Linked DNA regions of Caenorhabditis elegans. The protein of the gene in region 2 purifies or fractionates together with the protein of the main gene of each other region. This does not show direct contact. Each region holds a gene or a part of one and is shown on either strand. Other genes may lie near its edges.

Evidence for each region. Proteins that work in one complex are often made in the same cells at the same time.
Region 1: the proteins of rab-6.1 (region 2) and vps-52 purify together in Caenorhabditis elegans (affinity purification with western blotting, with the first as the bait; one study listed by BioGRID). This does not show direct contact.

Annotation. Positions count from the first base shown.
Region 1 is NC_003284.9:7,563,528-7,570,338, reverse strand, and holds vps-52 (Vacuolar protein sorting-associated protein 52 homolog), read right to left. Parts: upstream 5,017-6,811; 5' UTR 5,009-5,016; coding exon 4,852-5,008; intron 4,810-4,851; coding exon 4,691-4,809; intron 4,629-4,690; coding exon 4,533-4,628; intron 4,491-4,532; coding exon 4,260-4,490; intron 4,206-4,259; coding exon 3,972-4,205; intron 3,922-3,971; coding exon 3,715-3,921; intron 3,665-3,714; coding exon 3,539-3,664; intron 3,430-3,538; coding exon 3,148-3,429; intron 3,100-3,147; coding exon 2,709-3,099; intron 2,662-2,708; coding exon 2,543-2,661; intron 2,491-2,542; coding exon 2,344-2,490; 3' UTR 2,194-2,343; downstream 1-2,193. Other genes in the region: Apyrase apy-1, read left to right, coding at 619-729, 776-919, 1,036-1,100, 1,169-1,283, 1,358-1,876, 1,958-2,071; sto-1 (Stomatin-1), read right to left, coding at 5,886-6,072, 6,121-6,239, 6,313-6,576, 6,623-6,697, 6,749-6,811. UniProt on the Caenorhabditis elegans protein: Acts as a component of the GARP complex that is involved in retrograde transport from early and late endosomes to the trans-Golgi network (TGN). The GARP complex facilitates tethering as well as SNARE complex assembly at the Golgi.
Region 2 is NC_003281.10:9,004,321-9,011,286, forward strand, and holds rab-6.1 (Ras-related protein rab-6.1), read right to left. Parts: upstream 1,636-6,966; 5' UTR 1,630-1,635; coding exon 1,566-1,629; intron 1,518-1,565; coding exon 1,405-1,517; intron 1,358-1,404; coding exon 1,252-1,357; intron 1,202-1,251; coding exon 1,090-1,201; intron 1,043-1,089; coding exon 949-1,042; intron 885-948; coding exon 824-884; intron 777-823; coding exon 709-776; 3' UTR 501-708; downstream 1-500. Other genes in the region: zif-1 (Zinc finger-interacting factor 1), read left to right, coding at 31-215; F59B2.8 (uncharacterized protein), read right to left, coding at 3,654-4,334, 4,777-5,092, 5,394-5,615, 5,713-5,801; F59B2.9 (F-box protein), read right to left, coding at 6,424-6,966. UniProt on the Caenorhabditis elegans protein: The small GTPases Rab are key regulators of intracellular membrane trafficking, from the formation of transport vesicles to their fusion with membranes.

The DNA.
Region 1 (6,811 bases), on a different chromosome or scaffold from region 2:
CTACAAAGCACAAAAATCGTGTGTTTCCAACGCACTCAGACACACTCTATAAATACTGTTCTCGTCATGTCTTGTTGGTATTTTCTTCTTTCCCTGAAATATCGATTCCTGGTCAATCGTACAATTGGGACCATGTTAAGCGGGAAAGACATTGACCGCTAGCACAAATGTTGTCCGGCTCTCTCACAATCAATCTTTCTTCTGTGATGTGTTACGACAACCCACAACCGATTTTTTGATAGCAAAAATGATAAGATGATGATAGCGAGACAGCTCAATTGTTCGTTGTTCTAGAAGTTGTACGTTTTTTTAAATTTATTTTGCATCATTTTGAATTCATTATTTAAAAATGTATAAAATTGTTTAATTAACGGTTCTCGAAATATTTTGCCACTTCACAGCCACGATATCTCACTCAATAAAGCAAATGCAATTTGGGACACGCACTTGTGTTCGTTATTAATATCGAGTCCCCATTGAAAAAACTAGGCCACGCGGCCGTGAAGTACTCTCGGAAAACTACACCATTTTTTATTTTTTTATTCTACTTATATTTTCTCAAATCTCTTACTTTCAATTAATGCTTATAATTAAGACTCACAAAAATAATTTTTAGGTATGACACAAGAAAGTAACTCAAACTTTTTCAACTTCCTTCTTTTCGGGTTTGTGACCGCTATTGCCTTTTATTCGGGTACCCAATTCAACAAATCTAGCGAACAGGAAGAGGTAACTCTTTACATTTTCAGCTGATTGCGCACATATCCATTTACAGCACATCAACCATGCTAACTTGTATTCGGTAAAGAAGTTTGATGATGGAGCAAAAGAATACTCAATAATGTTGATCACCGATTTGGATCATGACAGCAAAGACGGGAAGAAGTGGAAAAGTTTGGTCTCTCGTGGATTTTTGAAGGTGAGAAGGACGGCAAGAAACTAATGCATTATGCTCAGCTTGACCAATATGATTTTTATAAAATGCAACTTGCTTTTTTCGAATCGCTATAGGAAATTTTCAAATTTATATTTCAGGTTTCTGCAGACCACAAGCATGCCGATATTCATTTTGACAAAGACTCGGAGTACTATGTTGACACGTAAGTTTACAAAATGTGTTTTTATAGATTTTTTTGTTTTGACTTCATTACTAAAATCATCATTTTAGAAATATTGCCGCCGGTGGACGCGCTATGGAGTTGTCTGACCTTGCCGTCTTCAATGGTAAACTGTACTCAATTGACGATAGAACAGGTCTTATTTATCAAATTAGTGACAAGAAGGTGAGTGATGAGTGGTTAAACAATGATATTTGTGTAGTGGATTGATTTTTAAAAAATATAATATTGTTTTGAAGGCACTTCCCTGGGTATTACTGAACGATGGGCCAGGAAACGTCGTGAAGGGATTTAAAGGAGAATGGATCACTGTTAAGGATACCGAATTGATTGTTGGAGGATTGGGAAAAGAATGGACGACCACTGACGGAGTTTATGTGAACGATCACCCAATGTGGGTGAAGCATGTCTCTGCTCACGGAGCCGTTCATCACGAAAACTGGAAGGATGTATATATCCGCGTTCGTAGAGCTGCTGGGATCGAATATCCCGGATACATGATTCACGAAGCTGTTCAATGGTCTGCAATTCACAGAAAATGGTTCTTCCTTCCACGTAGAATGTCAAATGAGAAGTATTCTGAGGCGGAGGACGAGAACCGCGGAACAAACGTTCTTGTGATTGGAAATGAAGAGTTGACTGATTTTGAGGTTGTGCGAGTAGGATCGGAGAATAACAAATCCAGAGGGTTTGCTGCTTTCCAATTTGTGCCAAACACTCATCACCAGCTCATCGTTGCCATCAAGTCGGAGGAAAAGGTAAGTAACAGGTTTTATCTACACAATTTTAAAAACAAAATCCGTTAATCTCAATGCTCGGTTTATAAAATTGTATTCCAGGATGGAAAACCAGTAGCAAGTTATGCAAGTGTTTTCGACATTCATGGTAATGTTATTCTTGACGAATATCTTCTTCATGGTCCATACAAATACGAAGGAATTGCATTTGCCTAATCACTTCAATTAATGTATTTTTGTCTCAATTCCCACCTTCCAGTCAGGTCCAAATCTGTGTTCTCGATATTATGTGATTTTTGTCAAATACTATGTAATGGTTATTTAAATAAAATAAATATATAAACATTTTATTCAACATTTTTTGCATGCATAAAGCTGCCAGTGGGTAAAAATATATATAAAAAAATACTCAAGTAAGTGGGAATCAATAAATTATTTAATTTACAAAGTCTACACGGGAAAATAAAATAACATTGGCAATATTTTTCTTAATATGCTGGTTTGAACCGTTTGATTTCGAGCATCACTTGATGAACGTTGACTAACTGGGAACACACGGGATTTTTAGCAAATACGTCATGGGACAGAATCTTTGTGAATCTATTGATATACTGAACGTACTTTGTGAAGATTGTCTGAAATCATCTAGTTAAAACTGAAATTCGGCTCTAGGAAATAAATTTTAACCTGTAAAATGGTGGTTCCCAGGCTGAAGTTAGTGAAAAGTTGTATGCATTCTGAATTAATACTGTCCACTGCAGGTCTCCACTTTGCATTGAAGTTTGCTACCACCGTTCCAACTTTGTCTGAAATTAAAATATTAGAGAATAGAAAATTATATATGACAACTTGCCATTATATCGAACTAAGAGTTGTGTATGACCTTGAACAATCAGAGATTCACACTCGTTGACAAATTTAATCATGTACCCAATATGTGGCTCTAGCATCTCTTCAACAAAATCATCAATACTTTTTTGTTCAAGCTCATGGACAATTGCATAAATCTTTGTATGCTTGCTTTCCTCGTTATCGATAATCGAAAGAATAAGATCGTAATTGTTAATCAGAAAGACGTGCTTATTTTTCTGAGTTTGCTGCATAGCTGACATTCGAGTCAATAGTTGTTCAATAGAGTCTTCACTGTTCTCCAAGACAGCTTCCATCTTTGCACCCATTTCCTTTCCACTTGCTTTTGCTATCATCAAATGTGCACTTGTCAGTTCGGCGTACCGTCGGACTATCTGTAACATCTGAATTTTTTTGATTATAAAAAACAATCAAAAACTTACGAAATGCGGTCTTGCATCAAGTGAACCGCTATGCATCAACTTCTTCAAATCAACAGATTTGACACTTTCGTAGTGTTGAGACATGACCAAATTGAGGCGGGTCCAAAGGAAGCTTGTGACAGTATTCCAATAATCGCTAACTTCTGGTACCTCTCTCTCGGCGAGCACTTCGGTAAACTTGTCACATAGACAAATGCACAGATGAAGACTGATGGCGTCCCAACTAAGGGCGATTTGCTCCTCGCAGCTTTTGAGCACAACTGACATTGCTCGAGCCATAGCCTGAAAGCAATTATAAGCTTTTTTCCGGTAGTGAAAAGGCAAACAACTATTGTAAATGTAACATTACTACGTAATAGATATTAGGTCTTTCCAGGTCCTCGTAACATACCTTGTTATGCAGTTCAATGGCTTCATCATTGCTGACAAGGAAAAAGTCGGTAATAAAGAGGTACTCATGGCTGTAGTGATCGACAAATGCCAGTTGAATAGAACGAAATAGTGCTTCAAATTGATACTGAAAATATAATTTAATTTGGTCCCTACCAGTTCTATTGTAAGGTATACCGATTGATGGTTCTGCGTAGCTGCGTGGGGAACAATCAAGGCTCCTAAAAAGTCGTCAGAGAGAATTTGATGTCGTTGCCCAATCGAAAAAACGGTTGCCTTATTCCGAACAACGTGTTGTTTCGACGAGAAAATTGCGCCTAATCCAGCGGGTTTTGCAAAATCAATACTTCCCAAAGCGTCTTCTTTGGTGGCCACGTCTTTCATCTTAAATAATTACTCTGGTGAATATACTTGAAAAATGTGTCTCAACCTACCGCAAGTTTGAACAGGCGTGTGGCGTATGCTTTGAAATACGTGAAGAACATCTTGCTGATGGTGTCAATGTACTCGTCTTGAAGTTCCTTGGCAGAGATCAAGTCATGGTGCAACAGGAATTCGTAGAAAAATCGGCATTTGAGAAGCTGGTGTTGAAAAACTTGGTAGTTGGACAGAGGTTTACGGAATTGGAACATTTTCTGAAGCAACCATTCCCTCACTTTTACAACCGCCTGAAAAAAAACATTTTTGAAATGTAAACTTTTGTAAAAAAAAAAACACCCAACCTTAAGCTTTAGTCCTTCCAAAATCGGCATAGTGTCGTTTACCGCTACCGCATCTCCATTTCCCCTTTGCAAAATTAAGGTTATTTTGTGGTGTAACTCGTGGAGCGCTTCCAAAAAACCCCTGTCATTTGCATCAGTGTCGTTGATAGTTTTCATCATCGTTTGAGAAACAGCAATATCGTCTACAAATTGGCTCAGCTCGACTCTAACTTTTTGCCGGTTTTCCAGTTCCTGAGAAGATTATAGTACGTTGAAATTGGAAAATTAATTTACTTGATGAATATGATGCGACTGTAGCTGCAAATTTTTCATATCCTGCCCAATTGATCCTAGATTGTCTTGAAAACTGTACAATGTTGCTTGCAAGCGCTAAAAAGTTTAATTAAATAGTCGACTGATTTATATATTGGCAATTTTTACAATATACTTACTTCAAAAACATTATCACAATGCACAAGTTGATTATGGAGTTGAGCCAACTGCTCAGAGTTATCAAGACACTGTTGAACAGAATAACGATGTGCCTCCGATAGCCGCGTGCTGACGTCGTCTGAATTATTGATTTTTCAAATGTTGACATTTAGAGACATACTTTTCGACTCGGTTAGTCCGTCACCAGAAGCAATTGCTTTTTTCACCAAATTCGGATCTGCTTTTCGCAATTGCGATAAACAAAATTCTAGCGACGATATTGTGAAACTACGGTCATTTGCCTCGGATTTTTGCAAGTTGACACGTGTTCGAGGCATTATTTGTGCTGAAATTGTTTCAATAAAAATTTTGATGAATAACTAACGTTAATAAATAAAAAATAGCGATAAACCAAAGAAAAAACAATTGGTAACACGTCGTTAAACGATGCTCCGCTTTTTACACCCCGCGCGGTGTTTAGAATAATGGTGTGCTTGTGTGCGAGGAAGGCGAGGAAAATGCTCGCCAAGGAGGTTATGCAGAACAATTGGAAAAATGAGAATGTGTGGATTTTTGAATTTTTATAGAGAATTTAATTTATCTATTTGGTATATTTTTGACAATTCGCTACGAGAAATCTAAAACACTATTAAATCTTCAAACCCCAACAATATTGAAATTTGGATTTTTGTTTAGTGAAAAAATAAGTGAAAATATGAATTTTTCTGATCAAAGACTTTCATAATAATTGGTGAAAACCTAGTTTTCAGCGCATTAGGCTCGAAATAAAAAATTTCTCAAAACTTTTTGAATCCTTCGATTCAAATATTTCCCGTTTTACAAAAAATTAGACAAATTTCTAAACTATATGGCTTCCTTCATTTTCTTGGAAAAATACACTTGAAAAATACAATGGAACGTGGAGAATCATATATATATTATTATTATGATGAGAAAAATGACTGAAAAAATTTGGAGCAAAATCGGAAGTCTTTCAGACAACCTCTCAAAGATATGCCTTGACAACCGATATGTGCAATTTGGAAGTGAATGAGGTGGAAATCGAGTATAAATATTAAGTGTTATACAGTTGAATAATACAGTTTAATAGTTAAAAAAAAATACTTCAAACAGGAAAGAGATTATCAATATGCTTCGAGTTGATCCTTGTTTTGTTTTTTGACGAAACTGTAGCTCATTTTGCGTTGCTTGGAATCAGAGTCGGCTTCCTGAGGAAGATGCGGTGGCTGGAACTGTATCCTGACGTTGAATGGATTGAAGGGCGGCATTCATCATTTCTTGAACTGGAAAGTTCTGAGATGTGCCTCCTGAACCAACCTTGCTGATTCCTCCGAGAATCTCCATTGGGAACGGGAAGATGATTGTGCTGGTTTTCTCGGAACTGAAATTTTATTTTGTTAGTTAAAAGTTGATAGTGCGCTTCCATTACCTGATAGCATTGAGTGTGTGCAGATATCGAAGCTGCATGGCTCCCTCGCTTTTTGAAATGATGGTGGCGGCTTCAGCAAGAGCGGCAGATGCTCTTAATTCTCCTTCGGCAGCGATAATCTGAAATTAATTGCAATCGAAATTAATAATTATTGGTCCCCCGCATTTTGCTATGCTCATCATGTCGGCTCACCTTTGCTCCAGCATCACGAGTAGCCTCGGCTTCAGCAGCCATAGCACGTTGCATTTGAGATGGAAGACGGACATCGCGAAGCTCGACACGTTCAACCTTGATTCCCCATGGCTCTGTAGCTTCATCGAGCGAGATTTTCATGTCGGCGGAGATTTTCTCACGGTCGGATAGAATTTCTGAAAGGGTATGGGTACCGAGAATTGTACGGAGGGTGGTTTGAGCCAAAAGTTTGGTAGAGTCGGTCGCATTGCCAACTCCGACGACCTAAAAATTCCAAATTAGATTGAACCGTACCAGCTGTTTAGTTTACCGAAGTGATTGGGTCAAACACCTTGAAGTAGACAACTGCGTCAACAGAAACGGTAACCGAATCGCGAGACAGAATCTGAAGAGAGAAAGATTATATCACAGTGAGCAGGTGTGTTGCGCAACATACCTCTTGTGAAGGGACATTGTACGATGCCACACGCAGATCGATATTCAAGAAAGTATCAATACA
Region 2 (6,966 bases):
ATAGACGTTTTCTTCATCGTAATTTTTCAGGGATGAGTTATTGCGAGCTTCCATTCTTCCAGCCACTTTCATTGAAGCTAAAATGTATTCAAGTTCTCAAGGAATCTGTCGAAATCGACCCAAGTTACTATAGAATCAAATGCTGCCTTAAAATGCAAGAAGAACTTGAAAAAGAAACTGCCGAAAATTTGTGCACGATAAATATTCAACAATAATAATTTCAAAAAACTAAGTAAACCCCCTTATTAGCATGACACTCCCCCCACCCCCTCTGATAATTATTTTGTATTTATATTCTATAATTCGTAATTATTATTTTTAACTAATAATTCCTTTATTTTTTAAACACATTCCCCCGAGTGATCTGATCACCAAATTTAGAATTTTAATGATTTATTAAACCCTCACCCCTAATTTAATACCGCCTGCAATTTTCTGACGCTTCCTGCTATTTGTAATGATATTACTTTTCATTTTTCCACCTGTTCAATTTTGTCAATACAGACTTATTCGATTCATTTACGGTACACTTGAGCACGATACATTTGAAACAGGCAATAGATTCGATTTAAATTTTGATGAGCGATGAAGAGGAAGGCAACAACGGGAACATAAGCGTGGAGTTGAGAGAAACAGTTGCTAATTTTTGAAAACCCATATTTGGAAAATAAATAATAAATTTGGTTGATGAAAAGCTGCGGATTGGATTTAACACGGACATTGACGGCCTTGGCTCTCTTCCGCGTCTTTAGGAGGATTCATGATAACGATGTTGGCTGAAAAAATTAAAATAAATCACTAAAATGTTTGATAAGAATCTTACGCTGCTCAGGCGTCTCCTCTTGGACAATTCCTGGAAGTGCCGTAGCGATTTTGCGGAAGAGCTGAAAAGGCTTATTTTTACTTTAATTGTCTGAAAATTTTCAGACGAATTTCAAAAATAAGTACCTGTTTGACGTTGTAGCCAGCTTTTGCAGAAGTTTCAATGAACATCACATTCAAATCGCGAGCCTTCTTTTCTCCATCCTCCGTCGAAACTTGTCTGAATTTCTTGTTGTTTGGAATAATTTTAGAGTGCATGTTCGTTACCTTTTATCAGCCAAATCGGTTTTATTTCCGACGAGCACGATAATGACGTCACATCCACGTTCGTTGCGAACATCATCAACCCACTTTGTTGTTTGATGGAAGGAATTGGCATCTGAAAAATTATTAAAATAATTTAAAATCTCAGATTCTAGTAGAACTCACTAGTAATATCATACACGACAACGGCAACACTCGAATCACGAATGTAAGATGGAATCAAAGATCGGAAACGTTCCTGGCCAGCGGTATCCCACAATTGAAGGCGAATCTGACAAGGTAATTAATTTAGTTTCAATTTTCTACATGGTATCTTACGGTTCTGTCTTCAAGATACATAGTCTTGCTGAGAAAGTCAATTCCAATGGTGGCTTGATAGGTGTTGTCAAACGAATCATACATGAATCTGGTGATGATAGAAGTTTTTCCCACTGAATATAAGTTTTTTTGAAACTAAAACGGCCCTCGGAATCACTTACCACTCTGTTCGCCGAGAAAAACGAGCTTAAACTTTTTGAGAGCGTTATTTGTGAAATCAGCCATCTGTAACTGAAATTATTTGTTTGAAGAGGAATTACAAAACAAGAACAAGGTACATCAAACGTTTCTTAAAAAATAATATGAAGGTTTCCAAATTTGGCTGTTTAAAGATTCCAAGAGCAAGAAAATTAAAAATTAAAAAAAAATCGGTGAGAAACACGAAACTTGGCGTCAAATTGCAGAATTCTGCATTTCTGCGTAAAATTTAGAGACCCGAAGGAGACCCGAAGAACTCGGAGGATGTCCAACTGGGGGGATTACCAACTCGGGGGATTGGCCCCGCCCACATAACCGTGGCTTGCAATACGCCCATTTCTGCAACTGCCGCACGGTTTTAAAACTGTATTTTTATCAATAGAGTGAGGATTAACAAGAAAAAATGATTTTAAAACCGTGCGGCAGTTGCAGAAATGGGCGTATTGCAAGCCACGGTTCTGTGGGCGGGGCCAATCCCCCGAGTTGGTAATCCCCCCAATTGGACATCCCCCGAGTTCTTCGGGTCTCAAAACTTAGTGTATTTTAGAGTCGATGCGATTCGTGGGATGAGCTTCGTTCGGAGACACAGGAACGTGAACAAATATATCAAGATTTTAACAATTTTTAGAGCGGAAACTCGAAAAAAAAATAAACATGACAGTCAATAGTTTGTTTGCTTAAAAAGTTCTACTTTTTACTCACGTTTCTCAGTTTTGGAACGAAGCCCCGCCTTTAAATTTCTGAGTTTAAAAGGTACCGCCCCCAAACGTTGGGTCTCGTTAGGTATTGGTAGCAAAACCGTAAGATTTCACTCGGTTTGAATCATTTTTAGTCTTTTTTGTTATGTTTTCATGTTTAAAGATATTTATGCCAAAATAATGTTAATAAAATAATTTTCATTCGGATATTAATTTTATCTCATATCTCATTAATTTCGACATAAAAATAGAAACTCTTAACATGTTAGGCATAACATAGAAAAAGAAAAAAAATTGAAAACGTTTAGTTTACGGTTTTCTACAGTACCTAACGAGACCCAAAATATGTGGGCGGAGCGTTTTAATTTGGCGTTGCAGCACGATTAAACTTTTATTTCAAAACGCAAATTTTTTTCTGTTAGGAATATGAAACTAAAGAAAAAGTGTTTCTTATCAAAAATGCATGATGATTACTCATCGATTGTACACGTATATCAATCGATGCACTGAACATGTTCATGAAAGTTTCCGAATAAACTAATGAATTACAGAAAAATTAACATGTCGAGAACCTAAGTGTTCGAAGTGGTCCACATGAAATGGCACCCCAAAAGGCGGAAAAGTGCGTGCTCTTGGCGCGGTCGAACGCGGAAAGGAGCAGTAAGAACACGATAAGACGAGGAGACTCAGACAACATTTGAATTGTCGCTTCGATTTCAAAAGCACTTGGGTAGGGGGTCTGGGGACAACCGGACGGCTGTTGCTGACCGAGTGGGACAAGAAACAAAGAGAATGTATGTGTGAGAAGACGCAGACAGTGAAAGTTGTGTGGACATCGAGCACATAACCAAGTGATTGTATAGTTTACTGATAACTTGTTGTGAAAGTTTAGTTATATGGGTCAACATTTTGTATCATACGATGCACCATAACTGAAAAGCCACACTCCTGAAATGTGAGTCTCGTTGGTTAAAATCAGAAATTCAACTTTTGTGAATTTTAAACTTTTTTTTTCGTATTTTTTGTTAAGCTATGAATTTTATTGACGAAGTCCTGGAAGAAAATTAATTACCAGGATTCAAGTTGGATGGTTAAATCGCTCAACTCTGAACTGAATTCAATGTGTTTATTGATAAAAAAAGATATTTTATTGCCCGTGTGTGTGTTTGTCGGTGAATGCCCTCTTCGCATAAACTTTATCTTTATCTAAAATCAATTTTGAGCAGTTTTGATTTGGAGCTGTTGAGTATCTCCACAGTGAAACACTCCAGCATAATACGAAGTTATCGATAGATAACCTCTCCACTTTATTCATTCCAAATCAATTTATTAATAAAAAAAGTCAACTCTAATTTAGTCATTTTGTGCATCAATAATATTATACATTTCATCAAATATTCTTCGTCTCCGCACTCTTCCAATAGAAGAGAGTCTAACCTCTGAATCCATTCCACGTAGAATTCTATAAGTTTCCACAAATTCGTCAAGTTTTAGATTTGGATTTGAAAGAAGCCATTCTAAATTACAAGAATCATCATATTCTTTTCTCAATTGAACCAATTGTTCATAATATGGTGCAAGCATTTTCGGGAGTTTTTCCAATCTCTTTTTCTCTGGAAATCTTTCAGTCCAAACTAGAAAGTATAAAGATGAAGTTAATGGATCTGGTTCATATATCCAAGTTGCCAATTCTCCATCATCTCTTTCCAATTCCAATCCCTTCGTACAATCTATTCGGTGCAATCTATTATCCTTTGAGTATAAAAACTTCTTTTCTCGTTGTTTTGGATCCCATTTATGAGTTTTTAGTCCTTCAAAATTTGCAGAAAGAGAATCGATATCATTTGGCCATCCAAATCTGACCATTTCCAGTTTGGAGTTTTTGTTGTTAAGCCAGTTTTCAGCGAATACAGTAAGATCCTTCCATCCGAAATAATGCTCATGAAAGTCCACGGAGCAACATGTTAATTGTAGAAGATGATCTCGAGTCATCCAACGAGCACTTGCCAGATGCAAGTTTTCCACGTGAAGAGCCTGAAAATGGTTAATAGGCTCATGGTTAGGCTTTTCAATGAAACTCGTGTGATTTGAGAAGGTACATCCGAAATAGGTTACTAGAAAAAATTTAGCAAAAGAAAACTACTTTAAACTTGAATTAAAGTAAATCTTAAACTGTTTCAGCCCACTTTTCTGTTTAAAATAATTGCCGAAAAATCGCATTACTTTTCCAAATCTCACCTTGATTTAAAATGTTTTGTGAAGTGTTTTCAACAAATTTTTAAAGACAAAACATCTGAAAAATTTTCGGAGTGAAAAAAGTTTCAGCGTATTTACAAAATTAAAAAAAAATCTAAAATCTTTTTGGCTTTGGCTACTCCTAGACACCCGTAATAATAATAATGTGTGCTGAAACTCTTTCCTTGTTAATATCTAAATATTAGTACGCAATAACTTATTTTTTCAAATCAAAAATTACCTGTAAAATAGGATATTCATCATCAGTTTCCGGTTCCACCCAAAGTTTTCTTCTAATTTTCACTCTTGAGAATATTTTTTCCAATACATTTTGAAGCATAATTGAGCCAAGCAATGTGAGAACATCTATATTTTGTAAATGCTCGTAAGAAAATAAGTTTCGTAAAGTTCTGCAGAATTGAACAGAAAGTCGAATTTCAATAGATGTTGGAAAAATATAAAATAAATGTTTTGAGACTTCTCCAATTGAATCTTCAATATCGTAATGATAGGAGGAAAATTGGAATAAACCAATTTCTCGTTGGGAATATTTTCGGCTGGAATATAAAGTATATGGGTGTTTGAAAAATTTGTTGAGTAATTTTGCTAAGTAAGATTCACAAAAAATTGAACATCTGTTTTTGGCAGGCAGGTAGGCAGGCATGTAAGCGTAAGCAGGTACGCGGTTAATCGGTCAGGCAGGCAGGTATTTTTGTAGGTAAGCACGTGAAACGAGATTGCTTATTTCTGCCTGCCTCTTTCTAAGTGCTTACCTGCGTGCTTACTTGCCTACTTACGCACATGCCTTTCTCCTGTCTTCATGATGCGTAATGTTTCTATTTCAAAAAAATCACTCACCATTTTTCAAATACAATTGCTCCCACAGTTCGTCTTTCTGGCATTTCCTCTTCCACGAGGTCTAACTTGAAATCCCAATAAATCACTTTTTGTTCTTGTTTAAATTGAATTTGAATCGATTGTTGATTATCTTTTCCGAGCGTCAAATAATGTAAATCTGCGGTTATATGAATATCTCGAACAGTTTGAGCCATTCGTTTGGAGCACAGCGATATATCCAATCTAGATATTAAAACTAAGTTATTTGAGTCGGTTCTTTGAGGCTTTCAGTTTCAAACAAAATGTTGTTCTTACAGTATAATATTGGAAAAAAACTCACAAGTCTCCATAGTCGAAAAATTTCAAAATCTTGCAACGCGGCACCAGTGGTAGTTTTGTAATAGGAAACGGACTTGACATGAACTCCATTGAAAACAATGAAACAATGGTGACAGACGAGTGACCAATGGTCTTGATCGATATGCAAATGAACGAGGGTGAAGCCCAGAAGAAGAGTACACAGAGAAATAGAGAGACTCCCCAGTGGTACTAATAGAACGGGTGAGAGACGAGAGAGGATGGACCCCTTTGAGGTCACACACAACTATGACACAAAGTACTAATGATACGTTTAATTGCCTTTTTGACAAGGGTTTGATTATTATCGCGATTGATACAAAAAACTACACAACTAATTTCCAAACTGATTTCACAGAACATAGGATCCGAAACTAACACGTAATCACGGGTAAAGCATCCTTGTGCGACTAATGAAAATCGGCTCAAAATCCGCGGACTGCCATTTGGTGGTTGACCAAATTAAGTTGGTTTTAGCCTTTTTGTTACTATCTTTTTAGTTTATTCTCCGGGAATATTTAAGGCCTGAAAAGTGTCAGAAATTCGAATCTTTCTGATTTTCTTTTTACAGTTCAGCTAACCTAGAAAGTAGTTTAAAAAAGCGGAGTTAATTGAAAGGAATATATGAAAAAAAAATTTATTCAAAATCTAGAAAATGATTACTTTAACATTTCAAAAAATTATATTTCATATGTTATAAATCAATAGTATTGTAAATTTTATCAAATATAGTTCTTCGAAAAGCTTGTCCAGTAGATGGTGATCTGTTCTCTCCATCCATATTTTTCAGTACTTTATAAGTTTCCAAAAACTCTGTATACACCAGATTAGGATTCGATAAAAGTCTTTCCAATGATGATTCATCTGGATAATCACGATTTATCTTTTCGAGCTGTTTGTACAAAGGTCCAAGCGTTTTTGGTAGATTTTCCAGTCTTTTCTTCTCAGGAAACAGTTCTATCCAAACGAGAAAGTACAAAATATGAGTTCTATCTTCTTGTTGTTCAACTACAAATGTTGCAAGCCTTCCATCATTTCTTTCCAACTCAAAACCATCGGAACAATCAATTTGAACTGATTCATTTTTCATTGTGAAAATGTAATTTCGCTCTCTTCTAGTACTATCCCATCGGCTTGTTTTAAGATTTTCAAGTTTAAATTCAACATCAGATTGCCATTGAAAACGAAGATTTTCAACCTTTGAAGACTTGTTATTCATCCACTTTTCTGCAAATGC